Linked DNA regions of Rhinolophus ferrumequinum. The main gene of each other region encodes a partner of the protein of the gene in region 4 in a complex. Links are inferred from orthologs where the notes say so. Each region holds a gene or a part of one and is shown on either strand. Other genes may lie near its edges. The genes, in order: TAB1, CASP3, CASP7 and XIAP.

What was found.
Region 1: the proteins of XIAP (region 4) and TAB1 are in contact, whole or in part, in a crystal structure (PDB 2POP), measured with the Homo sapiens proteins. The link is inferred for Rhinolophus ferrumequinum from reciprocal best matches to the Homo sapiens genes XIAP and TAB1. Residues at the interface, in NP_001158.2 of Homo sapiens: Phe33, Ala34, Ser38, Gly39, Pro41, Ser43, Ala44, Ser45, Thr46, Arg49, Tyr75, Ser78, Ala79, Val80, Gly81, Arg84, Phe92, Ile93, Gly95, Tyr97, Leu98; in NP_006107.1 of Homo sapiens: Glu99, Ala100, Arg103, Thr201, Gln202, Leu203, Glu212, Asp213, Phe216, Arg217, Gln220, Arg241, Glu269, Glu271, Ile272, His273, Ala275, Gln276, Pro277.
Region 2: the proteins of XIAP (region 4) and CASP3 are in contact, whole or in part, in a crystal structure (PDB 1I3O), measured with the Homo sapiens proteins. The link is inferred for Rhinolophus ferrumequinum from reciprocal best matches to the Homo sapiens genes XIAP and CASP3. Residues at the interface, in NP_001158.2 of Homo sapiens: Ala137, Leu140, Leu141, Gly144, Gln145, Val146, Val147, Asp148, Ile149, Ser150, Asp151, Thr152, Ile153, Tyr154, Asn226, Leu231, Gly232, Arg233, Asn234; in NP_001341706.1 of Homo sapiens: Tyr204, Trp206, Arg207, Asn208, Ser209, Lys210, Asp211, Trp214, Gln217, Lys242, Thr245, Glu246, Phe247, Glu248, Ser249, Phe250, Phe252, Thr255, Phe256.
Region 3: the proteins of XIAP (region 4) and CASP7 are in contact, whole or in part, in a crystal structure (PDB 1I51), measured with the Homo sapiens proteins. The link is inferred for Rhinolophus ferrumequinum from reciprocal best matches to the Homo sapiens genes XIAP and CASP7. Residues at the interface, in NP_001158.2 of Homo sapiens: His136, Ala137, Leu140, Leu141, Gly144, Gln145, Val146, Val147, Asp148, Ile149, Ser150, Asp151; in NP_001218.1 of Homo sapiens: Tyr230, Trp232, Arg233, Ser234, Pro235, Gly236, Arg237, Trp240, Glu274, Ser275, Gln276, Asp279, His281, Phe282.

The regions. Positions count from the first base shown.
Region 1 is NC_046293.1:8,078,030-8,085,593, forward strand, and holds the start of TAB1 (TGF-beta-activated kinase 1 and MAP3K7-binding protein 1), read right to left. Parts: upstream 3,005-7,564; 5' UTR 2,949-3,004; coding exon 2,916-2,948; intron 1-2,915. UniProt on the Homo sapiens protein: Key adapter protein that plays an essential role in JNK and NF-kappa-B activation and proinflammatory cytokines production in response to stimulation with TLRs and cytokines.
Region 2 is NC_046287.1:77,145,545-77,153,479, reverse strand, and holds the start of CASP3 (caspase-3), read right to left. Parts: upstream 3,004-7,935; 5' UTR 2,915-3,003; coding exon 2,903-2,914; exon of another isoform or gene 2,856-2,902; intron 2,181-2,855; exon of another isoform or gene 2,110-2,180; coding exon of another isoform or gene 2,107-2,109; intron 1-2,106. UniProt on the Homo sapiens protein: Thiol protease that acts as a major effector caspase involved in the execution phase of apoptosis. Following cleavage and activation by initiator caspases (CASP8, CASP9 and/or CASP10), mediates execution of apoptosis by catalyzing cleavage of many proteins.
Region 3 is NC_046299.1:14,265,950-14,273,565, reverse strand, and holds the start of CASP7 (caspase-7), read left to right. Parts: upstream 1-4,607; 5' UTR 4,608-4,731; intron 4,732-5,333; exon of another isoform or gene 5,334-5,458; intron 5,459-7,616. UniProt on the Homo sapiens protein: Thiol protease involved in different programmed cell death processes, such as apoptosis, pyroptosis or granzyme-mediated programmed cell death, by proteolytically cleaving target proteins.
Region 4 is NC_046284.1:33,251,691-33,259,598, reverse strand, and holds the start of XIAP (E3 ubiquitin-protein ligase XIAP), read left to right. Parts: upstream 1-4,905; 5' UTR 4,906-5,082; intron 5,083-5,106; exon of another isoform or gene 5,107-5,292; intron 5,293-7,908.

The DNA.
Region 1 (7,564 bases), on a different chromosome or scaffold from region 4:
GCGTGAGTGCCACTCAGAAGGTTCCAGGCTTCTACTCTTGCCACGCAAGCGCTTTTCCACGAAGGGCTTTCTCCGATCACAAATCAGATCACATCAGGCCTCTACTCAAAACCAGCCGAGAGGCTCACATCGCACTCAGAACGGAATCCACATGGCGCCCTCGGACCTGGGTGACACGCACTTCTTCCCAGCAATCCACTCCAGCCACACGGGTCCCCTCCATGCTTCCTAAGGCAGGCCTTAGCATCCCTGTTCCCTCGGGCAGGAACACTCCCTCCCGAACCCCACTGCACCGCATCAAACGTTGGGGTCTTCCCCTGCCATGCGGCCTGAAATGGCTCCTCGACCACTGTGTGTGCCGACGATTCCCCACCGCACCACCTGACGTGATGTGATAATCATCACATAGCATCTGTATTTCTGCATTGTTTACTCCTGTCTCCCTTCCTAGAGTGAGGGTCGTGTCCCCTGAACCTTCCCGGCACCTGCCACACAGTGAGTGCTCAGTGCCATTTGACATTTGAGAGAATGAACCATAGGTAGCAGAACTGAAGGTGGAACTTCACAACTGGAGTGTGACCGTGCCAGGCTAGGAGCGTGGCATGTCAGTTCATTTACTACTAACAACACTTCTGGAAGTCTTCTCGGTTGGGGAAACCAAGGTTCAGGAATGTTGCGTGACTTACCCAAGGCCATACAAGCAAGATTCATACTCTGTTTTATCTGGCTGCAAAGGGCCTAGGTTCTTTTGAACACATCAAACTATCTTCAAAAGCTCTTCTTTTCTTCAAAAGATCTTTTAAAGTACCACACTGCCTGGGGACGAAAGTTGCAACTTCTCAGGATGTCATCCCACGAAGCGCGCTGCCCGCTGGCCCCAGCACTCCCTTCCAGCACCACGTCAGCGAGTCCCAGCGCTTCCTGCAAGCCTCCACTGGCCCAGTCAAAGCGAGCCATCCACAGCCCCTCTACGCACTGCCACCAGAGGCCTCACACATTGTGTTAGCGGTATGTGGCTCCTCCTCCCAAGCTCAACTGCAAATGGAGCAAGAGTGTGTACATGCCTTATTCACTTTCACATCCCCAGGTCCAGTAACCACAGACTAGCAGTCCTCAAAGCCATCTGCTGAATGAGTGTCTGCGCTGCTCTCCCCAGACTCAGAACAGCACAGGGCAGGACAGCAAGCCCCACACACTGACACCCTCTGAGCAGAAATGTCCTGAGCATCATTAGGGTGGGAGGGGCCTTGTGTAGACATCCGTCATCCCTTTGCTTTCGTCAAGATGCTACATGCTTAAAGCTAACTAACCTGTATTTCAAAGATTCCCCCACCACCCAGGAACACATTCTGGAGCTAGTAAAGCTCACCTTCTGTCTAACCCAAGTTCCTTGGGCTCCATCGCACCTACAGGGGAGGGAAGCTGGCAGCCAGTCTCCAAGCCAAGCTAGCCGACAGCAGTTATCACTTTTATCATTTGCCACACATTGCAGCCAGTGTTTCTGGAATGTTTACAATGGGGACATTTACACAGGGGCCCTGACGTCTGGGAGCTTACAAAGCAAGAGGCCAGGTCTACCTAACCAACCCAATGACAAGGCCGACCTATCAAGTAGTTAAATAAAGGGGGGCAGCCAAAGGTGTAGGAAGAGAGCTACTCCCTCCCTCCCACTGGGAGTTGCTGTCCTGGAAGAGCAATTTCAGAGTCTACACAAAGCCTGTCATTCATACGCAGCAGTGAAGGTCATCCCACACACACACATTCTGTTGCTTCAAGACCCTCAAGGGCAGGACGGCCACTGTTGAGCACTAGACCTGGCTACAAATGCTTTCCTCATTATTTTACAAATATTTACTGAATGCCTGGCACCTAGTGGTGGTAGGTGCTGATGGCACTATTCATTGTACAGGTAGATCACAAGTCCCTGTCTTAAAGGACTTCACCTTCCAGTACAGGAGGCAGACATGTCCACAGGCAATTACAACAGACTGTGTCTGTTGTGTGCCTGCTGTGTCTGGGGAGGACCCATGGGACCGGCACCCAATCCTGGCAGGTCAGAATAGGCCCACGGTGCCAACGTGTGTGCATCTATGTACATGTGTCAGGAGGACCCAGGGGCTGGAAGACATCAGCTACCAGCCCATGAGAGTCCAGACTGGGAGTCGGGGTGGGTCTCATGACAATCCTCCCACTGCCTGCGCTCACCTTACAGATAAGGAAATGGAGGCAGAGGCGGATGGAGGCATAGTGAGATACAGCCAGGACCAGAAGCCAGGCTGCCTGACTGCGGTCATTCCTTTGGTATAGGTTACAGGTTAAGAGGGTTTCTGGAATGACTGCCTGATTTTCATTCTGCCTCTGCCACTTACCAGCTCTGTGGCCTTGGGCAAATGACACCGCTCTGTGCCTCAGTTTCCTCATCTGTAAAACAGGAATCACAGTACCTATCTCATAACGCTGTTAGGAAAATGAAACTTACAATGTAAAGCCACTGGCACAAAGCCTGGGATAAAAGTGGCTGAGGCCGCTACGATTATCATCCCACGACTGCCTGCTCAGTGCCGGGTGGGCTCACCACCCTTGCTCCCTCCGCTGCCGCGAGGCCATACTCCCTTCTGGCTCCAAAATGCTTCCACCCTCGACGCGCCCTGGACGCTACAGGGGACTCCAGGACCGGAATCCGAGCCCCCGACGGCCGGGCACACCGCGCTCCTGCGCAGGGCTCGCGGGGCCGCGCGCGCCCAGACCTAGGGAACGAGGGGGGCCGGCCCTGGAGAGGGGAGGGCGGCGGTCACATCCCGCCAGGGACAGGTAGGCGGCCCACGGCAAAGTGGCAGCGGCGCCTGCACCCGACAGGCCTCCCCGCTCCCTCCCGGTTCCCAAACCCCAGCCCGGAGAGCGGGTCTCTTCCTCACACTCTGTAGCAGGCTCCTCCTCTGCGCCGCCATCTTGAAGGGACCCGGCGGGCGCGCCCGCCTCCCGGCAGAGCAGACGAGAAGGGCGGCTAGAGCGGCCTGATGCCGGCCCGGAGGCCGGCGCTACCGGGGAGCAGGCGCCCAGCGCCACCCCATGGCCGAGTGGGATGGGGCCGCACCGGGGCGTGGACGCGGTCGCGCTCTTCCACCTTTTTCTCTAGTGGGAGATAAAGGGAAGGCTTCCGTAGGTTTGCCCCTCGCCCATTTTTATTTGCACACTTTCCCCAGGATGCCTTTCAGGTGAGGCTCCCAAACCCGGGGTTAGGTTCTGCAGGAACACGATGGGGAAGGCGGAAGGTGGGTTATTCGTTCACGCAACACATATTCATTGGGTGACCGTGCCTGGGCCTTTAGGGGTGAAGCAGCAAGCAAAACAGGCCTTCAAAAAGCTAACGTTTTAATTGGGGAGGACGTTTATATACATACGTCTTTCACGTGGTGATACTGGGTTTTCTGGAAAATAAGACCTACCCTGAAAATAAGCCCCAGTTAGGATCAGCCAGACGGCCGCATTTTGGTACGTTATGATGATGTTCCAGAAGAAAATGACATGACTGTACTTGAATAAATGTAGATTGTGGTACGTGAAAAAATAAGACATCCCCTGAAAATACGCCCTAATGCGTCTTTTGGAGCAAAAATTAATCTGAGACCCGGTCTTATTTTCGGGGAAACACGGTAAATGCTAGGAAGAGAAGTTTATGGATGAAGCATGGTAGTGCAGTGTTAACTGGTAACAGGGAAGGGAAGGGCCAGCGAGTGCAGGAAGCCTGAGGGAAGGGAGCATGTGGGTTCAAGAAGCACGCGTGTTACAGAAGGCTGATGTGGTTGGAAAAAAGATGGAGGGGGAGTGAGATGAAGGGCGCGTAGGGCAGACTCTGACCTTGTGAGCCCCAGGCAGGAGTTGGGCTATTCACCTGGAGGACAAAGGGAAGCTGTGCACATCCCAGCAAGTCACTGACACGATCTCAGGTAGAAAGATCCCTGTGACTACTGTGTACAAAACAGATTTTTAAGGGGATTGGAGTGGAGACAGGAAGACCGATTAGGGGACTGTTGTACTAGTTCTAGGTGAGAGATGATAGTGGTTTGATTTGGCTGATGGCAGTGAGTGGACTTTATTTAGGAGATGAAATCTGCGATGCTGGAGCAAGGATTGGTTGTGGGTGGTGATGTGTCAACGATTCTTCCAGATTTCTGGCAAGAACGGCTAGGTTTGGGAGAGGGAGAAGGTAATGACCAGGAGTTCAGTCTGGCCGTGTTGAGTTTGAGGGCTTTTGAAACATTCAAGAAAAGAAATCAAGTCAGTCTTTAGATGGAGAAGGCTGGAGCTCAGAGCAGAGGCTAAACTGGCAAAGATGACAGAATGAGCAGCTGGAAAGGCAAGGGGAGCAGAGGCAGCACAACCCAAGGTGAGGAGTGTCTAAGGAGGGCTGGGGCAACAATGTGAGATGCTTTTGAGAGGTCTAGTTAGAAGGTAACTCTCTGGAGAAAGTCTATTAGATGTAGCCATCTTTAATTGCGCAGGCAGTTCAGGTAGAATGGTAGGACCAAACTCCATTTGCAGTGAATTGAAGAATAGCTGGGAAATGGAGACCTTGAGAATAGGCGGACTTCCCAATTGGTGGACTGGGAAGAGGAAGAGAAGGGAACGTGGGGTTGAGAGAGGGTTTTTCCTGTTAGGCTGGGGAAACTTGAGCCTGTTTAAATGCCAAAGGAAAGGTTTAATAGAGAAGAGCTGATGATTTAGAAGGGGGAAGTGGGTGTCAGTCTAGGATGGTGACTCACCATCTTGCTCTCCTCTCAACACAGCTCCACATGACTCAAGATGACTGCTTGAGCTCCAGCCATTTGTCTGAGTTCAGCCAGCTGGAAGGCAAGAGGAAGATAGGAAGATGATACCTCTTTCTTTCTTTCTTTCTTCTTTCTTTCTTTCTTTCTTGTTTCTTTCTTTGTTTCTTTCTTTCTTTCTTCTTTCTTTCTTTCTTTTCTTTCTTTCTTTCTTCTTTCTTTGTTTCTTTCTTTCTTTGTTTCTTTCTTTCTTTGTTTCTTTCTTTCTTTGTTTCTTTGTTCTTTCTTTCTTTCTTTGTTCTTTCTTTCTTTCTTTCTTTATTTGTTTCTTTCTTTCTTTCTTTGTTTCTTTCTTTCTTTCTTTGTTCTTTCTTCTTCTTTCTTTCTTTCTTTCTTCTTTCTTTCTTTCTTTCTTTCTTTCTTCTTCTTTCTTTCTTTCTTTCTTTCTTTCTTTCTTTCTTTTTACATTATTAATAACAAAATTTACTCGCAGGCAATCTCCCTTCCCTTTTAAGGGACCTCAGAGGTTCCGCATGATGCTTCCCCTACATCTCTTTGGCTGTCACTTAACTCATGCCACATGGAGCTAAAAGAGAGGTGAGGAAATGTAAGCTTTGGACTGAGCTACAATGTGCCCAAGTACAGTTCCTGTACTAAAGAAGGATTGGATAACGGACACCAGGAGGCTATGAGCAGTCTTCTCTGCCAGGAAGGGGTTTGGGAGGGGCCAGGTGGTTTTTCCTGTTGAAGAAGAGTCTGGAAAGAATCAGGATTTGGAGCCCAACCCACTCCATTCTAATCGCTGCCCCATATCCTGTCACCTGTGTGACCCTGAATAAGTCACCTCCCCTGTCTGAGCCTCAGGACCCTTCTTATAATGGGAGTAAGGCTACCTGGCCGAATGACTGCGAGGATTAGATGAGGTGCCATGGAAAGACCTGGCTTGTGGTAGGCCCTGATTACAATTTAATGTTTTTAAAGATAATAAACACACATTGAGCACCTACTGTATGCCAAAGCACTTGCTGGATGCTTTCTCATCATACACTTATTCATTCTCACACCTGCCTTGTGAGATAAAGATTGTAGTCATCTTTAGTTTATAATGTAGGAAACTCCAGTTCAGCAAGTTACCCAATAAATAAATGTCGGGATTTGAACCTAGGTCTTCTGACTCTGTGATGTGATGTAATAAGAAATACATATTTTGGACTGGGTCCCACAGTCCTGGCACAGAGCTTCTTTTTTTTTCTTTCCCCTTTCTTCTGCCTCCCCCCACCCCCCCCCAATTCCAGTTCAAGCCGTTGTTTCTTAGTCTAGTTGTGTAGGACACAGCTCCCTGGCTCATGCTGGTATTATGAGCCTTGTGCTCCCCGGCTGAGGCAGTCGGTTTGCTGGTCATCGGTCGGCCGCTCACAGCAGCTCTCGCCGGCTGCCGGCCACTCACGCTGGCTGGCGGCAGCACACAGCAGCACTCAGCAGCTCCTGACAACCTCCGGCTGCTCACAGCAGCCCAGCTCCAGGAAGACGCGTTGTTCAACCAATCTTAGCTATAGAGGGCGCAGCTCACTGGCCCATGTGGGAATCAAACCGGCAACCTCAGCATTAGGAGACAGCGCTCCAACCACCTGAGCCACCAGGCTGGTCCCCACAGAGCTTCTAAAAGGGTTTTGAAATTTCCCTGAGTGATAGAGATGGTAGGAGCATCATTTGTTACTGATAACAAGCACTTTCAACTATCTTGCAGGTTTATGTAATGAGATGACAGGTGGCTGGAAGCCCCTGGATGACTTTAGGCTGGAGCTGGTTGCCAGAGCAACCACCCACGTGATTAGAGGTTTGGAGCTTTGAGCCCTGCCACTCCCATCTCAGGAGGGGAGAGGAGCTAAGAATTGAGTAAGCACTAGCGGCCAGTGATTTAAGCAACCGTCCTATGTAATGGAACCTCCATAAAAATCCTAAAGGAAGGAGTTTGGAGAACTTCTGCGTTGGTGAACCCACATCTGCGTGCTGGGAGTGTGGCACAACCCAACTCCAGGGGGACCAGAAACTCCTGCACGCTGTGGACCTTTCCAGATCTTACCCTATCACCTCTTCACTTGTATCCTTTGTTAATAACTCGGCAACAGCAAGTCACGTGTTTCCCTGAGTTCTTGAGCTGTCATAGCATTTTATGGAATTTGAGGAGGGGGTCATGGGAACCTCCGATTTGTAGCCAAATTGGACATTAGTGTAGATAACCTGAGGACCCACTACTTGGGACTCATGTCTGAGGAGGGGGCAGTCTGTGGGAATCCACCCTTAACCTGTGGGGTCTGTACTAACTCTGGGTAGTTAGTGTTAGACTGACTTAGATTACAGGACACCCAGTTGGTGTCTGCAGAGAGCTGGAGAATTGCTTACTGTGGGAAACCCACACATCTGACGTCAGAAGTGTTCTGCTGTTGTAGGTAAAAACCCCTCGGTCGAAGACTCCAGGGCCTTTCCCTGCAACCCTGTGAGAGAAGCAGACCCTCCAAGGCCCTTCACAGCTCAGCCTCACTGTAATTGCTGGAAGTTTTCCACACAACCACACTGTTTCCGGCCTCCATCTTTGTACCTGTTGTTCCCACATTTGACTACCTGGTGGACTTTTATTCAATTGTCCAGGCTCTTAGCAAATGAAAGCCCCTCCTCAGAAATTTCTCTTGATTCCCACCCTAAGGATACTCCCTCGGTCATTTTCGATCATGGAAAACTCTAGTTATTGGTTGCAGTGACCTTCCAGAGGGCAAGAACTCTGGCCGTTCAGCTCTGGG
Region 2 (7,935 bases), on a different chromosome or scaffold from region 4:
TTATAAAAATTACCGATAACCTACAAGACCTCTTTCCTCCCACTAAGAACCACTCCTTTGTAGAGGCAGATTCAGGTTTACAACCACCCATTAAAGAAATCCTGCTTGCCAGAGGTTTGAAACTGAGAAGTTTATTTGTTATTTGCGCCAGTCATTTACTGAACACCAACTGTGCGCAGAGTACGGTAGTACATCCTGAGCCCATCAAGTAAGGGAAGAGACAAAGACACTTTCCCTATGTGGAACTTTCACCAAGGCTCACTGGTATTCAAAAGTGGCTCAACTAAGGCAGAGGCTGGACAGGGTTACATTTGTATCAGATAAGTATCTTACTCTACCCTAACTCAGAAGCTCTAGTAGCAATTTGAAGGCAGTAACAAAATAGGCAGAGAAGAACATTACATAGAGATTTACAAAGCATTGTAACGGACATTATGTCGTTTTATACTCACAAGCCCAACAGATATGTAAATTACTTACGCCTAATTTATGGATGAGCTAGTTAGTATAGACAGCCCTTGGGACTTGGCCTCAGGTTGTCTGCCTACAGAGGACCTATTTCCCTCCATTACATTTGTATTTGTTAAATGTGAACAAAATAACTAACAGTCTAAGAATTCCCACCTCTTTTTCTAGAACCAAACACCAGTGCTTCCCTTCTTTGAGGCAGAGCTTAAAGAACTACCTAATACGAGGCACCAGAATAGATTTAATGACATCCATGAAAATAAAGACTGCTTTCTAGCACTAGAAGGAGGATGAAGCAGAAGATTGTGTTAAATTAGGTTTGAAAGCAAAACAGCAAAGAAACATTGTAAATGCTTATATCAGATAAGATGTTAGTCTTTTTTTAAAAAAGGGCAGGAGGCAAGACCATTTTTCAGGATAGCAAAAGCAAATCTGATTTAATTAGATACAATGTTTCATGTCTTTTTTACTGTGAACAGGTCTTATTGCCAAACTCCAGTAAGTTGTTCATTCATTCATTAAAACAAATCATAAATTTGAAAAATCTTTTTTTGCAAGAGTAAACCAATACCGAAGCTCAATCATCAGGCTATAATAGGAATGACTTAAGCTTTCCATTTGGTTCTTAGAGGTTATGTGCCTATAACATATTCAAACCGGCAGAGCACATTTTGATACAGTCTGGTCTAACCGTCTTGCTAAGCCCCTCCTATTACTATCCTGCACATCCACATTTTTCAGCAATTCCATAATTCACCTCTACCGTTCCTTTCTAAGCCACATCTTTTAATTATAATTTGCTAAGTAATCCCAAAACAGGTTTATTTTTTCTGGATAGGGAATAATTAAAAGATAATTGTGTAGTGTGGGCATTCACTTGTGCCAGGCTCTGGGTATGGGGAAAGACAATAAGGAACAAGATAAACAGAGTCCCTCATGGAATTTGCTTAGGGAAGCAAGTGGGGAAGATAGTAAACAAGCAACTGCAAAGGGTATGACTTTCCCTTCTTAGGAAATGACAGATGGAAAAGGAACATAATAGGAAAACTTAACCTTGAAGTGTTTAATGACAACAGAAACATAAGGAGACGTTCCTCAAGCAAATGTGATGTGATGGGGGAAAGAGGGAATGTAAGAGTGTTTCAGGCAGAGACCAGGTATTAAGATCAGCATGGCCATGCAGAAAGTGAAAGGGTGCTATCATAAAAGATAAGGCAGGGGAGGGAACCAAGGAGCCAATCTGTGTTTGGCTTTGTTAACCATGTTAAGGGTCTGGGTTTATCATACGGGCAAAGGAACAGTTTTCCAGATTTTTATTTTGCAAAGCCTGTGCTATAAAGAATGGATTGAAGAGGGGCAGAGGGTCTGGAAGTATGGAGACCAATGAGGAGGCTGGTGCAGCCAGGTGAGCGCCTAGGGTGATTTAAATCGGTTATGGAGAGAAGTGAACAGATGCAGTGGACATTTAGGAGGTCAAGGAGGCTTGGTGGCTAACCAAGGAAGGAGCTGGGAGAGGTAGGTGAGAAGGTTCGTTTCCGGTTTCTTGGTTTGGTGCCATTTATTGAGAACAAGGAAAGAGGCAGCTGCCTTGAGGGCCGACACACTGAAAACAAGAGTGAGAAAGGCACTCTTATTCACCATGGCCTGGGGGGATTTCAAAGCAGCTCCCAGGTGACTGGCCTTGGATATATAGTCACAGGGAGGAAGGAGCTGGAAGGATTCACCGAGGGCTTCAGGTCTGAAAAGGAATTGGAGTTTAATGCTGAAAATTACCTCTCTAGAAAACTAAGTCACACAGTCAACCCGAGAAAATCCAAGCTCGAGACAGGCAAGGCAGCAGAGACCAAACCCTTGCCCAAGAGTGGGAGGATCAGCCCCGAGAAACCGCCTGCCGGTAAGCACCAAACTCGCCTCCTGCCCTGGAGACAGCGTTTCTCGTCGCCGATCCTCAGCTCCTCCCTTCCCGATTCAAACCTCAGCCCGCCCTCCCTTTCCAAGCATCCGTGGCCTCCTGCTCCCGGGTCGGACCTCTTACTACCCGGCCTCGACACTCGGGCCCAGCGCCCGCGCCCCTCCCCACCAGGCTCCGCGACCCGGGTCCAGCCTCCTGCTACCCGGCCTCGGCCTCCTGTCCCCCAGGCTTGGCTCTCCAGCCAGGTCTCCACTTCTCGGCCGCCACATCCCCAGCTCAGTCGCCCGCCTGCCGCCTCGACGCTCCCGGCTTGGCCTCTCGGTCTTGGACCCGCCTCCCGTCCTCCGAGCTCCGCAGCTCCAGCAGGGTCTCCGCTCCCCCGCCGGCCGCTGTCGGGCCTCCACACCCCCCGCCCGACCGCCCACTACCCCCGACCGGGTCTCCAGCTCGCTGGCTTCAGTGCTCGTGCTCGCACCCGTCGTCGTGGCAGAACAAAGGATCCTCCGCCCGGACCGTGCCCACCTCCTCCGTCATCCCCGAGCAGCTGCAGGTCTGGACAGGTCTCTGGGAAGGGTGCTGTGCTTGGAAGGATGGAGGGAGCTGGCCCAGAGCTAACGGCCCCGCGGCGAGAAGGGACGAGGGCAGCACTCACCGAGCAGCCCCCACACAACAGCCAACAGCTCTCCCCTCTCTGCGAAGCTTGGTTTCCGCCGCCCGCCGAGGGTAGCGCTGGGCTCGGGAGCAGGCCCCGCCCCCACTAGCCCCGCCCCGGCCCCGCCCCCTCGGTCCTGGGCGCTGCACTCTCCGCAGACACGTCCCCGCGGCCCCGGGCGCCCCGCCCCCTGGCCACGCCCCCGCCGACCCCGCCCCCTCGGTCCCGGGCGCTGCGCTCCCCGCAGACACGTCCCCGCTGCCCCGGTGCGCCCCGCCCCCGCCCCTTCAGGACAACGACCCGCTGCTGTCTCCCGGGCTCCCCGCCTTCCCACCCCTCCCTGCGCGCCCGGGATCGTCGCCCCAGCCGCTTTCTCTTAGGCGCGCGTGCTCCCCGCCCTCCCGCCCCCGGACGCCCCGCCCCCGCGCGCAATTTGAAGACTGGATTCCGGTCTCGATGGGCACGTCATGGGTTCCGCCAGCTGCTGAAGGCCGAGGGGTTTCCGCCTACTGCGCGGGTTTCTGGAGGTAAACGGACGGGGACCTGAAGGCCGCCCCGGGCCCGGGGGGCGGAGCAGAGGGAGCCAAGGTCGGGCCTGATGCCCAGTGTGACCTCGGGGATGAAGGGAAGCGGGCCGCGATCCGCACTGGAAATCTGCTTCCCCTCGGGCGCCCCGAGGCCTTTCCTTAGGTCACCCCCAGTTCCCCGTCCCTAAATCAAAAACCTTAACTGCCCCACTCGTTCCTGCCTATTTTGGGTCACGAACTCTTTTCAGACCCTGATGAGACCTAAGAATTGTTTTCGCTGAATATACCAACGCTATTGACAACGAAGTTCTGCGTCAAATTTCAAGAGGTTCGTAACATTCTGACAAGTCAGGGACCCCATGATAAGAACAAGACTGCCCCCAACACTTTTGCCTACTGGGGCATAAATCAGGGGCTATAATTTATACACAAATATACCTCGCTATATACCAGGAGTGCCAAAAAATGTATACACATGACTTGTGTTCATCTTTTGTTATCAGTATATAGTAGTATAATTTTAATACAGTTTTTTTCCCTTTCTTAGAATGTGTATACATTTTTTTTTGGCACCCTCTGTATATGGCTACCATTTGTTGAGTGTTTATTTTGTGCTCTTACATTTTCACACTACGTTTTCTTATTTTATTCTTCCAACAACCCCTGGAGGTGGGAATTCCAATCCCCACCCGAGCTTAAAAAGGTTAAGTCGTTTGCTTTTGTTAAAAGGAGAGTTACAGGGGTGGTTATAGCCGAGCTCTCAACTGCAGAGTTGCCGGTTCAATTCCCGCATGGGCAGCAACTAGGATTGAAACCGGCGACTGGACTTGGGGGTTGGGCTGTGCCCTCCACAACTAGATTGAGGGACAATGACTTGGAGCTGATGGGCCCTGGAAAGGCACACTGTCCCCTAATATTTCCCAATAAAAAAATTAAAAAAAAGTTACAGGAGTTAAACTTGGACCCCAGGAATAAAATTTAGGCCTTTCTTAATCCCTCCCAAGTTGAGAGAGGACGGATGTTTGGCAGTCCCTTTTTTTTTGCTGCAGTAAAACTGAAGAATGGGACTTACTCCCAAACCCAAACAGTGGTTCAACGTGCGGTTATTCATAAGGAAGGCGCTGGTGTAGTTGAACAAGTCCTGTTACCCCACTGTGATACCCAAACCCCTTCCTGTGCTAAACTGTCTTACCAAAATGATGCTTCAGTTAAAGCAACAGCAGCAGTTTTCTTTTTCTGTGTAAATTACACGAATTTACTTAGTCTAGAGAGACTTTGATTATATCAAACAGTTGGCTGGAGACACAAACAGTTGTCTTCTTAACCTAGTAATTTCTTTTTACAAAGGGTCTTAGGGGTCAGAACTTGATCTTGCCCTTGAAGGGGAAGAAATTGGGAAAGGGAAGTGGGGTATTACAGGTGAGAGAAACAGGAAAGAGGGGCACTTGGAGTGGCCAGGTGCGGGGACTGGTCATTATCATTCATTTGGTGAGAGGGCTGAACAGTAAGACATAAACTGCACAAGTGGTTTAGGGCTAGATTCTGGAGAGAGTTTGGATTTCCTGAGGTAAACTGTAGTGTGGATTGAGTGACGCTCTGAATCATTCACGAGTGCCCCTGGAAAAGTTATGCAAATGGACTTAGGGGTGATTGGTCTGGCAGAGTTAGGCTTTTTGCATAGGACATCCTGTGGGGATAGTAGAAAGGGGCAACCGGAAAAGAACAGTATGTCTTATCCTTACAGGAGATTTTTGGAAAATTTAAATATGAGTTACTTCTGTTCAAGCATAGAGAGGCAAAGTGAACTGAAGTGGGGAAAAAAAGAAAATTCAGTTAATTCGTTTTATTTAATTCTTTAAGGTGTCATTCATCTGGAATGTACATTTATATAATAATATTACTGTAAATGAATTTTAATCACATACTTTATTATGAATACTTTAGCAGTGGGAGAAATAGTATAACTGTATTCCAAGAGGCCATAAAAGGGATTAAGAAAACCTTGCCAAATAACAGAACCTTACTAAATACTAGAACTAGAACACGTATGCAAGAAAACACAAAATACTGATGAATCCATTCAGAGGGCAGAGGGAGAAGCTGGAGTTGGGGAATAAGAATTGACTTGTGATTAGACAAAAACAAGAAAGAAACCAAGAGAACTGGGCTAGAGAGAGCTATGGCAAGGCAGGTTTCAGATCTCCCTAGAAGCCAGTAATCACGAAGCATGTGCCCCCTAGTCCAGCTGCTCCTGGGAGTCAGGCTATCAAGTGTCATAGCTGGGCAAGTCTAGGCATAAACCTAGGGAAACCAGAGCTACTTAGGTTGGCTTTCTGAGTCATCTCTCCACGTCCATCCCCACCTCCCCCTCTCTGAAAGGACTAAAGCCAGCCTTTTTTCTAGCCTGACCCCTTTTACTTGTAAAATCAGTTTCAAACATGGTTAAATAAAAATTCTGGCGCAATGTTTAGAAATAAACAATAGGCTTACTATTTTAAAATACAATACATATTTTTCTTTGGAACTTGGAAACTGTTACCAAAAATCGGTAGTTATGGACCCTATGTGGAAAGGGTTTTTTGATGTATGGTTATAGAGAAGAAAGAACTCTTTCCCCACCAGGAATTGAAAGCATTTCTGGAGGATAAGGGCTGAGAAATACAGATGAATTCCTGTTCTTCATTTCCTTTGCTTTTGTCATTCAGCCCTCCCGCTGGAACACTCCAAGCCCCAGTTGTCCTCTAACCCTCAATCCAGCTGTTAAAAATTTCAAACTGTGTAAAGACCAGGAGAGCATAATAGATACTGAACTTTTTCTCTCTCTTGACATTCATGGTTTTCTCAGTTACTCACTCCCATGGTCATAACAATATTTTTACAAAATCTAAAAAAAATTTCCTGATGTCATCGTCATTAAGTGTGAAGATCCACATGGTTAGTCCTAGTCAGTTATTAGGTACTGGAGCTAAAATTCACATCTGATTGCATTCTGTGTTTATTTTCTTCATTAACTAATCAGTGGGCTTTATTAAAAGTTAATAAATTTCATAGGAAAAACGTCAGTTTCTCCCAATTAGATTATCTAAATGTAGGGAATTTTTATCTTTATGTGAAGCAGATTAAAGTGAACTGAATACTCAGAATCTAGCAATAAAGGGCTGTATCATTTTGTATTGAAAAATTAAAGCAGTTGTATTAAAAGTTGCCCCATCTCTTCAGTTGAATGAAATTACATTCCTTTCGTAAGTGTATCTGTTAGGAAATTTATGTTGACACCCTTAGAATTATATTTGTTTCTTGGTTTGTAATTTATAATTTTCATGTGGATTAGGTGTCACAGAGAAGAATCTTAAGTCTGTTATAGTTGAAATCTATGGATAATATGCCTTTATTTCTAGCCATGTCATGACATTCCTATCCTCTCAATCTTTTAGGGATATTTTTCCATTCAGGGAGTATATATCATTTGCCAGTGGGTTTGTGTTGTCACAGAGTTTTCTGCTAAAATTCTAGAGAATATTTATCAACTTGATAAGTGCAAGTACTGGAAAGACATTGCCAAAGGTAAATAGGAATTTTACCCTCAAATGCTTTAGTATATATTATTATTTCACTGAAAAAAACTAACATACTTGTTTTCTACATAGATATATTATGACATAGAAGATATTAATGAAGAGGGAAACTCAGTTATTGGTTATTTCTGTGTAAAAACCAGGCCCAAACTTACTGGCTTAAAAAAAACAAACACAAAACCACCAATTCTTTTTCTTATAGTTTTGTGGGTTGGCTGAGCAGTTCTTTGGCAGATCTCGCCTAAACTAACTCAGGCTTACTCATATATTGAATTCAGATGATGATTGGATGATCCAAAATGGCTTAACTCAGAAATCTGAAATAGTTGGTGCTGGCTGTTAGCTGAGGTTCCTTGGTTCTTCTCCAGATGGCTTTTATCCTCTATGAGGCCAGAGTTATAGCATGACAATCTCAGGGAAGGTGTCCAAGATAGCCAAATCCAATGCAAAAGCACTTATTAAATGTCTCCTTGTTTCCCATTTGTCAGTGAGACATGGTCCAAGCAAGTCACCTGGGCAAACCCAGACTCAGTATGAGAGTGGGTTTAAATGGCATCTCCTGATGAGAGGAATGGCTAAGAATTTATGGCCATTTTTTATCTACAATAAAAGCCTTCCCCCTTCTAAAATCTCAGAAACTTCCCCTCCTTTCTTCTGAAAACCTATCATTTTTCCTTTGTAAGTAAACCATAATCCCAAATTGGAAAAGTGTTACCTGGCCCCTTACCTTGTATGGCTAACATGAAAGCATTGTATGCAAACAAAAACATGTCATTCATAAACAAATGTTAAAATATAATC
Region 3 (7,616 bases), on a different chromosome or scaffold from region 4:
GCTGTGACAGCCTCAAACAAGAGCACATGGGCTCCTCTGGCCTTCAGGACTGTTCAGACAACATCTGTCTTAGCCTGGGTTCCCCAGAAAACAGAACCTGAGGCAAAGGCTTATGTACAAGGACCATATTCAGAGGTGTCCCAGGGAGCAGACGCAAGGAGGTAGGAAACGGAAGGAGGAGAGTCAACATGACGGTTCGTTCTCAAAGTAGCCACCACGTGATATAAAGTGCATTGGATCACTTGATCTCCACCTTCTGAGAGGCCATATAAACAACTGCTACTCAGGAACATGTCAATGGAAGGAAGGATTTATCTGGCCTCTGTCTCCCACTGCTGAAAGTTTTGCCCCACTGGGTGTTAAATCCCCTACATGTCCATGTTATGTATGGACCTAAGGAGTCCCACAGCATCTCATGACTCAATAGCAGAGAGTCCAAGACTTGGGCTCAGTGGTGACGCGCTAGAGCCAGATCAATGTAGAGCCTTGTTGATCCTTGATCTGGATACTTTTGCCAACACTGTCGCATGTCGCTTTGGCTTTTCTTTTCTTTCTTTTTTTGTTTTTTACATCTTCACTCATGGGGAGCTTGTTGTGATCATTGGAAAATTCCACAGCCTTTTGTTTCACATTAATGACTATCATGTTCAGTATGTAAGCAACTGATTTCCTTTTTGAACTTCAATAGAGCACTCATTTATCTCTTTTAAATTTCACCCTGTTGATGGTGGCCCCATTGCTTCATACCTTGGTTCTGTCATCCAGAATATGAGGTAATTCTTCCTAGCTCTGAATCCTTTCCAATGCCCTCCTGTAGATGTGAAATGGTTTTGAAATTACAGACGGATGACGAATGCAAAGTAAGGACTAAGCTACCAACCCTTCACTCTGTCACTGTCTCTCTGGTTAGATTGGGGTCATCCTTCCACGCTGGCAGTGTGTGCCTACCTTAGTTTGGGTTCTTCCAAAGCAAAGCTTAAAGCACAGACTTGGGTTCAGGAAGTTTATTTAGGAGGTGGTCCCACAAGGCAAGAATGAGGGTTTTAGGTCGGTGAACTAGAGAAAGAGGAAGAGTCCATAAAGGCATATTCTGAGCTCATTACCCTAGGGACAAGGGGGGTGCAATCTCACTGAAGACACTCTGAGGAATCGTATAACATGTTCCCCAGAACTACCCCGCTGAAGGACGGGAGGCGGGGACACTTATCCACCCAACTCTCATGTCCCTTTAGTTGCAACTTACTGTTGGGGCACTAACTCCCCTCCACCTCTAGGGTACACCTGTCTGCACGAGCTGAACATACTTCTGCAGCTTCAGAGAAAGCCCAGGGACAGGGAAGCAGAGGGACACTGCTGTGGGAACTTAAGGAGGGCTTGGTGACGTGCATCAGTGAGCCAAGGGAACATGGTATAGGGTACCCCAAGAGTCAGTCACTCAAGGAAACAGACTGTAGGCAGGGTAAAGTGTTCATATGAGATGCCATGAACTCCCACTGTCCTGCTCGTCAGGCTGATGGTGTCATTTCTGCTCCATCCTTGCACTGCTCTGCACTGTGCAGCGCTGTGTCCAGATAGGTGGGGTGGAAAATTCCTGAAGCAGAGCCTAGTTCCAAGCTCTCACGCTTTTCAAGGTCAGAACTGCCACTTCAGCCTCACCTCCATCCCTTGGGGCTTACAGGTGCCTGGAGGGGAGGTTCTTGGGGGTGTTTGATGAAGTTTCACGAGCACCTACTGATGGGGAGTTGGTGGCTTCAGGGTTGCTCCCTGCAGTCCTGAGGCCTACGCACTAGATGGTGGGGACCAAGGTAGGCAAGTATCTCTCCTTGCTCTGGGGAAGCCTGAAGGTTGGTGAGGTTGCCTAACTTGTTAGGCTGTGCCCTGAGTTTCAGCGAGTGATCTGTTTGTATAAATCTGGTCCACAGGAAGTACTGTGCCTAGGAAAATCAGGGAAATATTTTGCCTCCTCTCAATCCTAAATCTGGTTTGAGACTACTCTTTAGTTGAAATTACTATTTGCTTTGGAAATGGGATTGTGTCTTTTGGTCTAAGACAGAGTCTATAAACTTCTGTAAAGAGTCAGATTGTAAACAGTTTAGGCTTTGCGGGCCACATAATGATCTCAGTTGCATCTTCATTTTCTTCTTCTTCTTCTTCTTCCTCTTCCTCTTCCTCTTCTTCTTCTTTTCTTACAACCCTTAAAAAATGTAAAAACCATTCTTAGCTTGTATGCCATACAAAAAACGTGGCCCATAGGCCATAACGTGCCAACCTCTGGTCTAAGAGGTTGCTCACAGGACGTCAGGAGCAAGCAGTCCAGAGTTCTCTTGGGGAGGCTGGTGGGGAATAGGAAGGCAGAGGAAAGGATCAGAAATTGATTCAGCCCCATCTGGCTTTGACTGTCTGCAAATGGGGGTCTTACTCAAGCGTGAACAATATCCAATGGCTGTGGTTGTCTTTTCCTGAGCCAGGGAACCACGACATACCCTGTGGGTGGCATGGAGTGTTTCCTCTGAGTCAAGGAATGGATATTCCTCCTGCTGAAGACCATAGAGTCAGAAGTAAAGCATCCCTTGGTTTGGGGAAACACTGACCTATCCATCTGGGTCCCATCAGGAAAGGAAACCACCCAGTAATCTGAACAGGGAAAGGTTAATATAACAAATTATTACCTAGAACAGGGCATTGGACTACCAAGAGATTGGCTAGTAGAAATAAAGAGGAACTCTAAAAAATATAGCAATTGCAGGTATATTTGCAGACAACATATGTATTAGTTTGCTGGGGCTGCCACAACAAAGTACCACAGACTAGAATGCTAGAATCCACAGTTCTAGATGCTAGAAATCCAAGATCAAGGTGTCAGCAGGATTGATTTCTTCTTAGGCCTTTCTCCATGGCTTGTCGATGGCCATCTTCTCCCTGTATGCTCACAAAATCTTCCCTCTGTGTGTATCTGTGTCCTAATCTCTCCTTATAAGGACATACTGGATTAGGGCCTACCCTAATGATCTCATTTTTACCTCTAAAAATTCTATCTCCAAATACAGTCCCAACCAGGTGGGTAGGACTTCAACATATGAATTTGGGTATGGGGGGGGGAGGGCGGTTACAATCTGGCCCATAACAACATGACATGATATGACATGCCACTACCCCTATAGCTGAGATAGAGAGCCTAAGGAAGAGCCCCCACCCCCCTTCTCCCTGCTCCAGGGCTGAGATCCAAATCTTGTTGGAGAGAGTGTGGCCTAGATGACAGAGAAGTCACTGTGGTACTGTGCCAGTGGAATTTGCTAGAATCTGTCCTTTAGACTTTCTGGATACTCTCTAGGTGCTAAAGAGAGCTTTTCATGGGGAGGTATTTCAGTGGAGACACTCTGCTAGAAGAGCACCCGAAGGGGGTGCCGGGCAAGGTGCTGGCTGCTGAGTGCTGCTGGCCACCAGGCCAACAGGAGCTGGATACTGGGACACCAGGTGTGCCACAAGAACCTGAGAAGCTACCCCTTCTGCAGGGGCCTGGTTCGCAGGAGCATGCCAAACACACCAGAACCGGGAAGCAGAACCTGTTCTTCCTGCACTCTCTCCAGGGACCCACTGACAAAGCTTAACACCAGGCCATAGGCAAAGGAAAACTCCTTCAAAGGGCCCAATTACACTTTCACAGAACAGACAGACAAAAAGGGTGAATTCTGAGCGTGGAGGCACTCTATCCATAACAGGAGCAACATGAATTCCTCCTTTCGGGTGCCAGCCTGACAGGTCTGGTGAAGGCCCTCTTCCAGGTTGCAAACAACAATCTCTCCGTGTCCTCACACGGTGGAAGGGACTAGAAAGTTCTGTCAAGCCTCTTTTAGAAGGGCAGTAATCCGGTTCACCAGGGCTCCACCCTCATGACAAAAGCACCTCCCAAAGTCCCCACCTCCTAATACCCTCAGGTTGGGCATTTGCTTTCAATGTATGAATTGAGGGGATACATACAGCCTATAGAACACCCACATTGGGAATCGTGCAAATGCCTGTTTAAAATATTCAGGAATTCAGGATTTTCACAGAAAGTAATAAATTATAATTATGCCCTTACACTTGCCTGGGGCCAGTCTTTCTTAAACCAAGAAAATGTCCTTACCTGGTAAGATATTAGAGATAATATTAAAGTCGCAAGCCCAGAGGAAAGCAAGCAAAGAAAAAGACAAGATGCGGTTCTTGGCTGAGGTCACAACATGAAGACTTCACTCCTTTCACTCAAGGTGTTGGTAGCTCTTTCAGAGCAAATATCTCTGGTATGAATAAAACTAATTTCCTTGCAAATATTTATACCTCAGTGTGACTAAGTTAATTAGCTGCTCCCAAGGAGCCTTGGAAAGAAAGGCATTAGAGGCCTCGGATGGAGGCCCAAGGATGAAGAAAGCCGTGGGGGACGGGGAGAGGGATGCAGGGGTGAATGAAGTGGAATCCGTGCAAGTGCAGTTCTCTCCCTAGTTAAACTAATTCACGGCTACATATCCAGTGGCTGACACCTGGGGGCGCTCACTATATTTCAGGAATGATTCCCGCGCCAGCCACGTCGGGACTAGCGGGCTGTTTGCAAGGACTTGCTCATGAGAAAGCTGAATTGGCGTCCTACTTCTTACGTGCACAGACAGGCGCACTCGCAAGTGAAAGCAAGTTCTGGAAGGCCGGAAGACGACAGCGGATCCGACGGTGACCCGAGGGGCTCCGCCTTGGGAAAAGGTAACACCCGGAGAGGCAGGCGCCGAGCACCCAGGGGCCCTGAACCGCACAGCCTGGGGTCAAGGATCTGGCTGGGCAGGAGCTTTAAGGCTATGGGAACTGGGTCTCCGTAGTGATGCGGGGGCCCAGGTAGAGTTGGGGCAGCCCCAGGAGAAGGAAGGAGGCGGGCGCGGGGCTCTGAGGAGCGTCCCATAATTGAGCGGCGGGGGGCTGCAGGGCGTGCTCTTCCCTCTGCGTGGCCCGGGAGGTTTGCGGAGCGCACTCTGGGAGTCACTTTGAGCGCTGCGAGTTCTGCAAATGTGCCGTCCCGAGGACTGAGCGCGGCGGCGGGATCCCATAAATCTCTGCAGACTGAATCCCGCCGCGCGGCGACTTTGTCGAGGGAGCTTTCCGGGGACGATGCGCCTAGTGACCCGGGCCACTTTGCAGGGCCGAGTTCCAGGGCGGTGCTCGCGGCCAACTTTTTAGAACGCGCGACCCACTTTGCCGAGGGCTCCTCCTGGAGACTGTGCGCGCGGCCAACTTCGCGGAGCGCGCCGTCCTGAGCCGGGGGCGGGGGCGGGGGGCGGGGCGGGGCACGTAGCCCCGCCCTGCTCCGCGTCTGGCCCCGGACGGCTCCGCCCCTTCAGCGCTTTACTTTCATTTTGGGGATAGGAGTAGCTGCAGACCCTAGCCGCGGAGGCACGCAGACCGCTGCCAGCTCTGCCCGCCAGGCCGCGTAGGAACGGTAACTTCGGCCCCCGCCTCTGCTTTTGCCTTTGCAGCCCCTCGGCGGCGCGCCTCCTCGGTGCCTCGTCCGGCCTTCTCCTCCCTCCTCCGCTGCCCCGAGCGAAGTCTGGGGCGGGGGATCGGGGTCCCTAGGAGCAGGGCTGAAACTGCCGGCGCTGAAACTTTGGGGGAGAGGTTGGTTTGATCAGCTTGACTTCCCTCCTAGCCAGCGGGCGTCACCCGGTACTATTCGAGATTTGGAAAAGAAGAGGTGGATTTAAAAGGGAAGGAGCGGTTCGTTATCTCGCAGGGCTAACGGCGGAGGCTCCCGCGTCAAACAGCCTAGATTCCGGTCCCCGCTTCCGTGCTTGCAAACTTGGCTCTCTCTGTACTTATCCATTTAATGGGAATAATGGTGATTAGGGTTTCCAGGGGGGAATTCCCGCCCATTCTCAGGAATTTTGTTCGCTTTCCGGTTCCCAAATCCTGAGAAAAGTTGGTTGGGAAATTGGGAAAATCGGCTCCTTGAACCCAGGTGGTTGGTAGTATGGGCCGTCACTTTGTGGAAACAATTCATCGTGGAGGACAGAAAACAGTTTATATCTTGGGATTTGGGACCGGGAAAGCGAAAAAAAATTCCTGAGAACGCGGGGGAATTTCCGACTGGAAACCCTAATTGGTGATCCTGGGCTGACGATTGCAGCCAGGATGGAAGGAGGCGATTATGTTGCATAGCAGTGCCTCTTTCAAGGCTTAGTGTGCTACATGTGAGCTACTGTCATCATTTTGCGAATACCCTTGTGCAGGGCTCTTGAAGATCCCTTGAGGAAGTGAAAAAAGATAGGACTCTCAAGCTGCCAGAGATCTTGTAACCTGTTACCTGTTGTATTCAAGTTTGCCGTTTATGGGGCAGTATAATTACTGATGGGTGATTCTGTGAGTCATTACCAAGTCATTGCCAGATCTTATCCCTTGAACTCCTGGACTGGCTGTCTACTTACCCCAACATTATTTACTTATAGGCTGTTTCCTCTTCAGGGTCTACAGTCTGACCTTCGTCCTCGTCAGGCAGCTACTACTTAGCTTCAAAAACTCTAAAACAACCTTTGTGTAGGTATAAAAATAAGGATGCTAAGTCTTCAGAAAGCATTGTGGGGCTGGCCTAGTGGCACAGGTGGTTGGAGCTCCGTGCTCCTCACGCTAAGGTCGCGGGTTCAATTCCCACATGGGCCAGTAAGCTGTGCCCTCTACAGCAGAAAAAAAACAAACAATCCGCAAGGTGGGTTCACAGTCCAGTTCTGCCTCCTCTTAGCTGTGTGGCTTTGAGCAGGTTACTTAACTTCTCTAACGAAACCATAGTTTTTTTTCTGCATTAGAGGGTAAAAACTCCCATCTTCTAGCAATGCTGTGAGCACCAGGTGACAATGGAGAAGTTGAGTTCCCAGCATAGCCCCCTTCTTCTCCAAATGCTAGAGGTGAGAGGTGGGGGTCCTCGGAGCTGCTGCTTTTTACGCCTTTTAGAAAGATTGTCTTCATTTGGCCAAGAGTAGGGTGCAAGTTGTATCATGTCACTTTTCTGAGGAAGCAGCTACAATGAGTTCATTCCCCCCACAGGGGGGGAAAAAGTTCAGATAATAAATAGCGGGAAGTGATTTTCTTACCAGATGTATGCCAGCCACCTATTAAGAAATAATGGAAATAATTAGTAGAGGATTTTTGTTTTCAGTCCCCACAATAGGTGCTTAAAATATGGATGTAATTTAAACGTACTGGTGAAGGTTGACAACTGAATGTTTTCTTGAGTTCTGCACACAGTGTTGATAATAGGGAATATTAAACCTTTACCATAGAATGTGCTACACGGTGCTTAGCATTTTGCATGCATCGTTCCATTCAGCCTCACAGCCACCTGTGACTGAGGCATCATTGTTTTCCCATTTTATAGATGAGGAAACTGAGCCCGGGAGAGGTTGAGTACTTTGTTGAAGGTGCTAATAGATAGAGGAGCCAATTTAACCCCTGATCTTTTGGCCACGACTGGGCTTTCCGCTGCGCTCCTGGGGTCCCTTTGGTTCTGTTGTGTGTCCCATATCAACAGTTCCTTCAGGACACTGAAGCATTAACACATTTTAAGTATATTTTAGTTATAACATTTATATAGAAGTATTTATTGAATG
Region 4 (7,908 bases):
GCTACCCAATCTACGGTATTTTGTTACTGCGGCCAGAGCAAACTAATACACAGGGATTTTATCTGGGCCCTGACTACCTCTCTAGAGCCTCAACTCTCTGTCAGGCTTCATCCATCCCCTTATCAACACCCACTCACATCTCCACCAGTAGTTTTGAGACCGTGGGCAGCCTAACATCTCTGTCCTCAGTTTTTTTATCCCTAGGGTTGCATTATGATTAAATGTGATCATCTATGTAACACATTTAACACAGGAGGAACATAAAAACATTCAACAAATGTTAGCAGCTACACTGCAGCCACAAGGCATTAACTGCCATTCCCCAAATGCACGCTGTTTTGTTTCACTTCCATGAGTTGGCACGGGATGATATGCCTGATTAGAATGCCTTTCTTCCACTGCTTCACCTAGCCAACTCTTGGTTGTCCTTTAAGACTGAAGTCCTGGTGGAACTAGCTCTAGTCTACCCTTCCCCAAGTTTGGAGCCCACCTCTGCACTCCAAGAGCATGCTGTGCTTGCCTCCACAAAGTGAGAAGCCATCGCAGGGTTTTAGATGAAGGCATGACCTGATCTGGCTTGAGTACCTACTCTATGCCAGGTATCATTCTAGATATGAGTCAAGACAAGAATAAAAAGAATACTTAGCTCATAGGGTTACTGAGAGGATTATGAGAGAGAAAGTGTGCCAAGCACTTAAGACAGTGTCTGGCATAGGGTAGTCAGTAAATGCTAAATATTATTATCTGTCTATATTCAGGACACTCACATCCATTGACATCTGTGGCCTTTGTTTCAGTCTTCCTCTCTAAATGCAAATCCCACTACCATCCTTGGTAATGACCCCTCCAACATGCTAGCCTCCCTCTTGGACCTCAACTCCAGTAGCTTTCACCTCCACCCTACTCCAGACACACCATAACAACATCCTGACCTTGACATTGTTGTTGGAGTGTTGGATTTTTGCAGACTGAGTAGATTGTGTACAACCATAGGAATGCATTCGACGTAGAAAGCCCAGGTGAAATTTTCCATTAGCTTGAGATGAAAGTGTGCTCTTCTGTCTCCACCCCAAACAAGCAACAAGTCTCTTCTGTATAACTGGGTCCCTGGAAGATAAAGTCAGAGAAGGGAAAGGGAGGTCTGGCTGGAGATGCTAGTTTTGCCAACACAAGATAAAGGCAGGAATTTTTATGACTGCTTAAACAGAGGAAATTATAGGTGCAGTCTTTCTGGCAACAAGGAGGGAGTGAGAGGTTAGCAATCAAGATACCCAAGCTAAAGTCAAGACACTGAAGGGCAGATGCTGCCAATAGACACTGTTCAACATGAATGATCTTCACAAAGTTTGTGCTCTGATGATGAGTCAAGAGTAATCCTACGCAGAGATCCAAGATGGTAGAGTAGATCAATGCTGTGCTTGCCTCATCTCATGAACACATTAAAACCTGGAGAACCATCTGAAGTCTAACTGAACAGAAATTTTATAACTGAAGATATAAAGAAGAAGCCATGTTGAGACTGGTAGGAAGGGTGGAAATGCAAAACAACCTGGCCCCAAACCTCTGTGTTGCAGCTTAATATTGGGAGGGATATCTTGGCCACAGAAGATACCCCCACTGGAGAATCAAGGGACCCCAACCACATACCAGGCTCCCCAGCCCAGAGTAGTGGTGCCAGGAAGAGGAGCCCCCACAACATCTGGCTGTGAAAAACAGTGGAATTCCACAGTCCAGATGGGATGAAAGGCTGCAGGAAACCCAGACATCCTCTTAAAGGGCCCACATACAGACTCACTCACAGGCACTCACCCTGGGCTCTGGCAGAGGGACAGTGACCAGGGCCATCAGAGACGTACAGGGAAAGACTGAGTTGTGTGGTTGCTGGGTAAGGACTGCCGGAACATTTGCCATTTTCCCTGTGTGGGGTCTTTCTACCTTGCAGCTGGCAGACAGGCACCATCTTTCCTATGTTGAGCCCCCACCCCATCAAGCCCATGGCCAAATCTGAATCTGAATTGGTCTGGTGAGCTCAACTTGCTCCACCCTGGTGACTCACTAAGACCCAGCCACACTCAACTCCCTACCACAGGAGGCTTTATCAGTGGCTGAACCTTACAGGAGCCAGCAGCTGGCAGCAGGCCTCAGAGTGCCCTGGATTTTTCTGGAGCTACCCCAGGCCCGGTACTGGTAGCAGCCATCCTCGGTTCCCAGTATGGCCTCTCCCATGCACCTCCAGGTCCAGCACAGGCAGTGATCAACAATGGATCGCTGTGTAGCACCTACGAGGTAGTTGCTGGCCAGTCACAGGCAATGCCTGACCTTGGACTGCACCAGAGCCCCTCCCAAGAGGTACCAGAACCAACATACTTGAAGGTTGGCTTCAGACCACAGCAGAGCACCACCCAATTAGCCTCACAGGTGGCACACCCAAAGGGCGATCTCAACAGGCACCAGAGCCTGCTCAGGTGAATCCCACTCTGTGGGTAAGCCTCCCACACAGCAGCCCATAAGCAGTAGAAGTGGCCAAATCCCACAGCCAGTTAGCCTGAGGGTCAAGCCCTCCCACTGACATGTCAACAGCAATCGACGCTCAGCTACAACAGGAGGCCCACACAAGGGACAATTCTGGAGCACCAGGAGCAGGTGACCAGGGAGACTGTGCCACTGGGCCCCACAGGACACCTACTGTATAAGGTCACCCAGCAAGCCTGAAAGAGGTAGCAGATCTACCTAATACATAGAAACAAACTGAGAGGCAGTCAAAATATGGAAACAAAGAAACACATCCCCAATGAAAGAATAGGAGAAAACTCCAGAAAAAGAACTAAACAAATTGGAGGCAAGCAAAACACCAGAAACAGAGTTCGAAACTGGTTATAAGGGTGCTCAAGGAACTTATTGAGAACTTCAACAAAGAGATAGCAAGCATTAAAAAAAAAAAAAAGAAAACAAAAAAGATCCAGTCAGAAGTGAGGAATACAATAACTGAAATGAAGAATGCACTGGAAGGAATAACCACTAGATTAGATGAAGCAGATGACTGAATCAGCAATTTTGGAGACAAGTTTTCAGAAAACACTCAATCAGAACAGCAAAAGAATAAAAAAATATGGTGGTCATGGTAGGCCCTATTGAGAAGGTGACGATTAAGCAGAAACTTTAAGGAGGTGAAAGACAAGCCATGGAAATAACTTATCTGCTCAAGTAATTTTAACATTATCCTGGAGGTTGTACTTCATGTTTTAACTCAGATAGCCATGTGCAGGCTAGATTGTGGGGGCACCAGTCTAGAGACAGAGAGGCCAATTAGGAGACTGCGTAATGATCAGACATGCTTGTAATCAGACAGATCTTGGTTTGAATCACTGTTCCAGCTCCCACACATACTACCTAGAAGTGTGACTTTGGACAAGCTACCTAATCTGTCTAAACATCAGTGTGTTCATCTGTAAAATGGGGATAATGTTACATATTTTATAAGGTTGCCATGGGAATTAAATGAGATACGTATTTGCTTGTGGTTACTATTATTGCAATAAATCAGATGTGAGATTTCCAGAGCTTAACAGTGGGAGAGAATCAGGGGGGATTCTTAGCAAATGCCTAAAGCCCCAAAAGAAGTCTTTCCTCCTTCCAAGGTCCCTTTTCATGAAGGGCAGCATCATTTGAGGATGCAGGTGATACTTATGATCTTCCCCATGAAATGAAACTTTCTAATTCAGAATCTCTTATCTCACTACACTAACCTGTAAGAAAGCCCATTTCTGAAACAAAATTCATCTGTCGGTCTGACAATCCTACAGCATATTTGAAATAAATCCTGTATTTTATGTACACAGATTTCCTTTGTTTCTCTTCTTTCTGCTGTCTTCTCTACTCATTTTCATCTTCCAAATCCCTTCGTGCCCCCACGAAGTGTCTTCCTTTCTTTTTCCTTTCATCCTTCCCTCCTTGGTCACAGATCATATTGTAATCTCAGTTCCCTCGTTTATTAGATGCGTGCTATTGGGATAGTTACCCTCTCTGCATCTCAATTGCCTCTGTAAAATGGGTTTAATAAGAGAATGACTACCTTACAGCAAAGTGCACGTTATATGGCTACCACAATGCCTGGTCTATAGTTTAAGAGCTCAACATGTTCGTTCTCTTGTGTATCTTTTTATACTTTAATCTCTATTCCGCTACTCAACCGCAGAACCCAGCAGGTAAAAACCGTGGGGGGAAAAAAACACCTGGAGGCTAAAAGAGGAAAGGCTTGAGCTGGGGGCGGGGACTGCGTGGTGCCCATGACGCATGCGCGCCCGCTCCGTCAGGTTCTGGTTTCTAGCTCCGGGGTGGGGCTGGGGGTCGGGGACAGAGGGCTTCGTTTGCCCTGACCGCCCCCTTCCCGTCCTGGGTAGTGGCTGGACCTTAGCTGCGTCCCCAGCGGCCTCAGTGCTGACTTTGGGACGTTGGGCCCGAGGAGTAAGTTCGAAAATGGCGGAAGGGGAAGAAGGAGGGGCTTTGCAGGGCTGGAGGCTGGCCTCCGGGCGGGGGTGGCGAGAAGGAGACTGCGGGGGCTCCAAGTGGTGCGGCTTGTGCCGTGAGACGGTCGGACAGCGGCCCGTGCCTCTTTGAGGCCCTCGGGATATCTCCAGGGGATGGGCGGGCTGGTGGGCGCGAGTGAGGGAGAAGAAGGGACTTCCGTTTCCTTTTAGGCCCGGCCGGGCCTCAGAGCGGAGTTGGCATTTCCAGATTGGGGCTTGCACCGCCCCTCCTCCAGAACCCTCCCCTCCGGACCGCGCAGGGTGCCGCAGGCGATCCGGGCGAGCTCTCCTGGCGCGGTAGGTACTGCCCGCTTGGGCTTCCTCCTTCCTTCCCCTCCCTCTTTTTTTTCTCCCCTCCCCTTCCCTCCTTTCCTCTTACTTCCCCTCTCTTCCCTTCCCTTCCCCTCCGCTCCTTCCCCTTGGGCCCCGCGTTACGGGGGGAGGCCGCCCCCCTCTCAGGCGCGGGTGCCCGCCAGGGCTCCAGGCCCAGGTTCCTGGGACTGACGATGGAAGGCGTGGGCGGGTGGGCGCCAACTTGAATCCCGTAACCCCTAAGGTAAATCGAGTCAAAGAACTTTCTCTAAAATGATCAAAGGGACCGTCCTCCCTTGTGATGCATGTGGCATGTATGGATCTGGGTGGAATGCGTGTGGTGAGGGCGTGTGAAGCTGAAAGAATAGTAGGAGCCAAAGAGCTTCCGGAAGAGGAAATTAGCTAGTAATTCTTTCCAACCTTTGCTGGTCTAGTCATCTCCCCAGGATCTTCTGTAAGTAGAACAAAATTCAATCTAACTTTCAGTTTCATTATTTTAACTCCGTAGTGCACTTAATTATTTTCGTTTCGGCAGGAGGGAAAGTGGTTATTGCTGAAACTAAGCCATGGCTGGCCCGCCTCTAAAAAAAGAACGTCAATCAAAGCTTTGTAAAAACCTACCCGATTTTAATAATCTGCTACTTTGCTTTCAAATGTAATTATGTCACTAGTTCTGTCAGAACTGTACCTTGATAGTTAATGAGGCATAGCAATTTACTCTGGTAAGACTGGAGATTACTATAATGTTTCTTTTTTTTTTTTACTTAACATTTGTTACAACCAGTTCAAGAGAACACTTACAGACGGCCATCTTAGAATTATAACATTTTTGATTTGGAAGGGATCTTAGTTCAACCTTGTTATTTTACAAAAGCTGAAACTGAGGCACAGGAAAATTTCATGGCTTGCCTAAAGGTACTCGACTACTTAAATTAGAACCCAGGTTGTCTGGCTCCTTGCTCGCCAGTCTTTCTGCGCAACCACTCCACATAGCCTCCAAGCAACGAACTTCAATGTATTCAGTATAACGTACATTTCTGAAGCCTCTACCACTTTGTGACATACGACTCTGCTACTGCTTTCAATGAATTTAACATGCTTATGAAGCTGCTGCTTGAAACAGTTTCCCCCATCATTCAAGAAGTGGCAACAGTTTAGGTTAAAAAGATTTATACACACAGGCACATATGTATACTTGAATACATTCAGGTAACTTTTTGAAGGATACGTAAAAGGATTTTTTTTTTACATAAGAAAAATGTTAACAGTGGTTACTTATGCAGGGTGAAGAGAGGTGGGAGGCTTTTTACTTTGCACTTCACTTGTGTCCTAATGTACTATTTGAATTTCTTCCATAAGCAAGTATTGAGTTTACAATTAAAAACAAGTTTTAAAGTTCACACACATATATATATATCAGTATAGATAAGTATATATCAATAATATGTGTATATGTATGTATGTACATATATGTATTTATGTATCACTGGTTTGGTTTTTTTGTTTGTATTATGAAATCCAGTGTGGTTCATGTCAGACTAACTGGCAAAGGAGGCTTGATTATTGCATGCTTACGTTTCTTTGGTTTTCTCTTGTTGTGCCTAATGTAAGATGGTAAAAAGTTATATATGTTACTAGTCTTTAAATATTTTTAGAAAATGTGCTATGCTTTTGATTATCATATAACGGAGCAAACTATTAACATTCCGGATATCAAATTTGATACAATGAAAAAATTGAATGTAGAATCTTTCTGGATAAGAATCATTTTTTTAAAAAATTAAAACTGGAAAGGTCCCTGGTGATTAGTAGTTCAGCTTTTTTCTTTCTTTGAATGGGTTAGTTAAGAGTCAAAGAAGAAAAGTTGCCCAGGGTTATATATCTGATTATTAGCAGAGATTGGACTAGGATCTAGGTCCTAGTCCAGTGCCCCTTGTAAATGATACCTGTAATTTTATTGCTTTCTAGTGCATTCGATGACGCCAACTAGGCAGACAAAGTAATGGTGACTAAAGATTAGGACCATTTCAATAGATAAGAATTATTGTAATTAATGTACCATTAATTTGTATAGTGCTTGAAATATTTTAGTAATGTAAATGTTCCCTTTACATTTGTTATAATCATTAATTTTTTTTAGTAAATCCTTTGTTTATATTACAAATACTTAGAGACCCCAAATATGAAACTATATATTTCACTGTTTTTGTTTGGTCTCATATATGAGTTTGGTAGTGCTAACAGGAAATAAAAAAACTATGTTTTATCTAAAATATATATACCTATATATACATTTAGATATATCTAAATGTATATATATCTATATATAGGTATACCTATATATATCTATTATACCTATATATATCTATATATAGGTATACATATATATATAGATATAGATAGATAGATAGAGCACCTACTGTATTCCAGGCATTGTACTATGTGGTAGGGTTCCAAAGATGAATATGGCAACATAGATGCCCTTGTTCTTTTGAGGCTGGAAGATTATCACGAGCTGTCAATTCTCAAACTTAATTTCTGGTCTAATGTGGTAATAGTATATAAAATGTAATCTATAGCACTGTTTAACGTCATTGTGTGAACAGATTTGAGGAGACAAAAACAGTGGTAAAATAAGTTGATACTGAATTGAACAGATGTTAGTTTTGTATCATACAGCTTATGTGGTACAGTGGGAAAAGCTCTGGATTGGATTCCTGCGTTCTTGTCTTGGCTTTGTTTCCAATCAGCTGTAGAATTGTGAGCAAGTCACTAAGCCTCAGTGCCTCCATATTTTTTTCATAACTTTTTGATATATTTATTCCATTTTATTCAAAACAAAAAGTATTTGGAATGTCATATATTATAAAAGGGAATAAGTATAACCCGCATTCTTTTATATTTACTTTTTTCATTTAGGATCATTTTGTATATAGATTGTTTTAATCCTTTTTCTCTCATTCAACATTCTGTATTGAACATTTCCTATGTCATGAAGTATTTCAAAATATAGTTTTTATTAGGCATATTATTCTGTGCCCCATTTCCTTCATCTGTAGAATAACAGGTT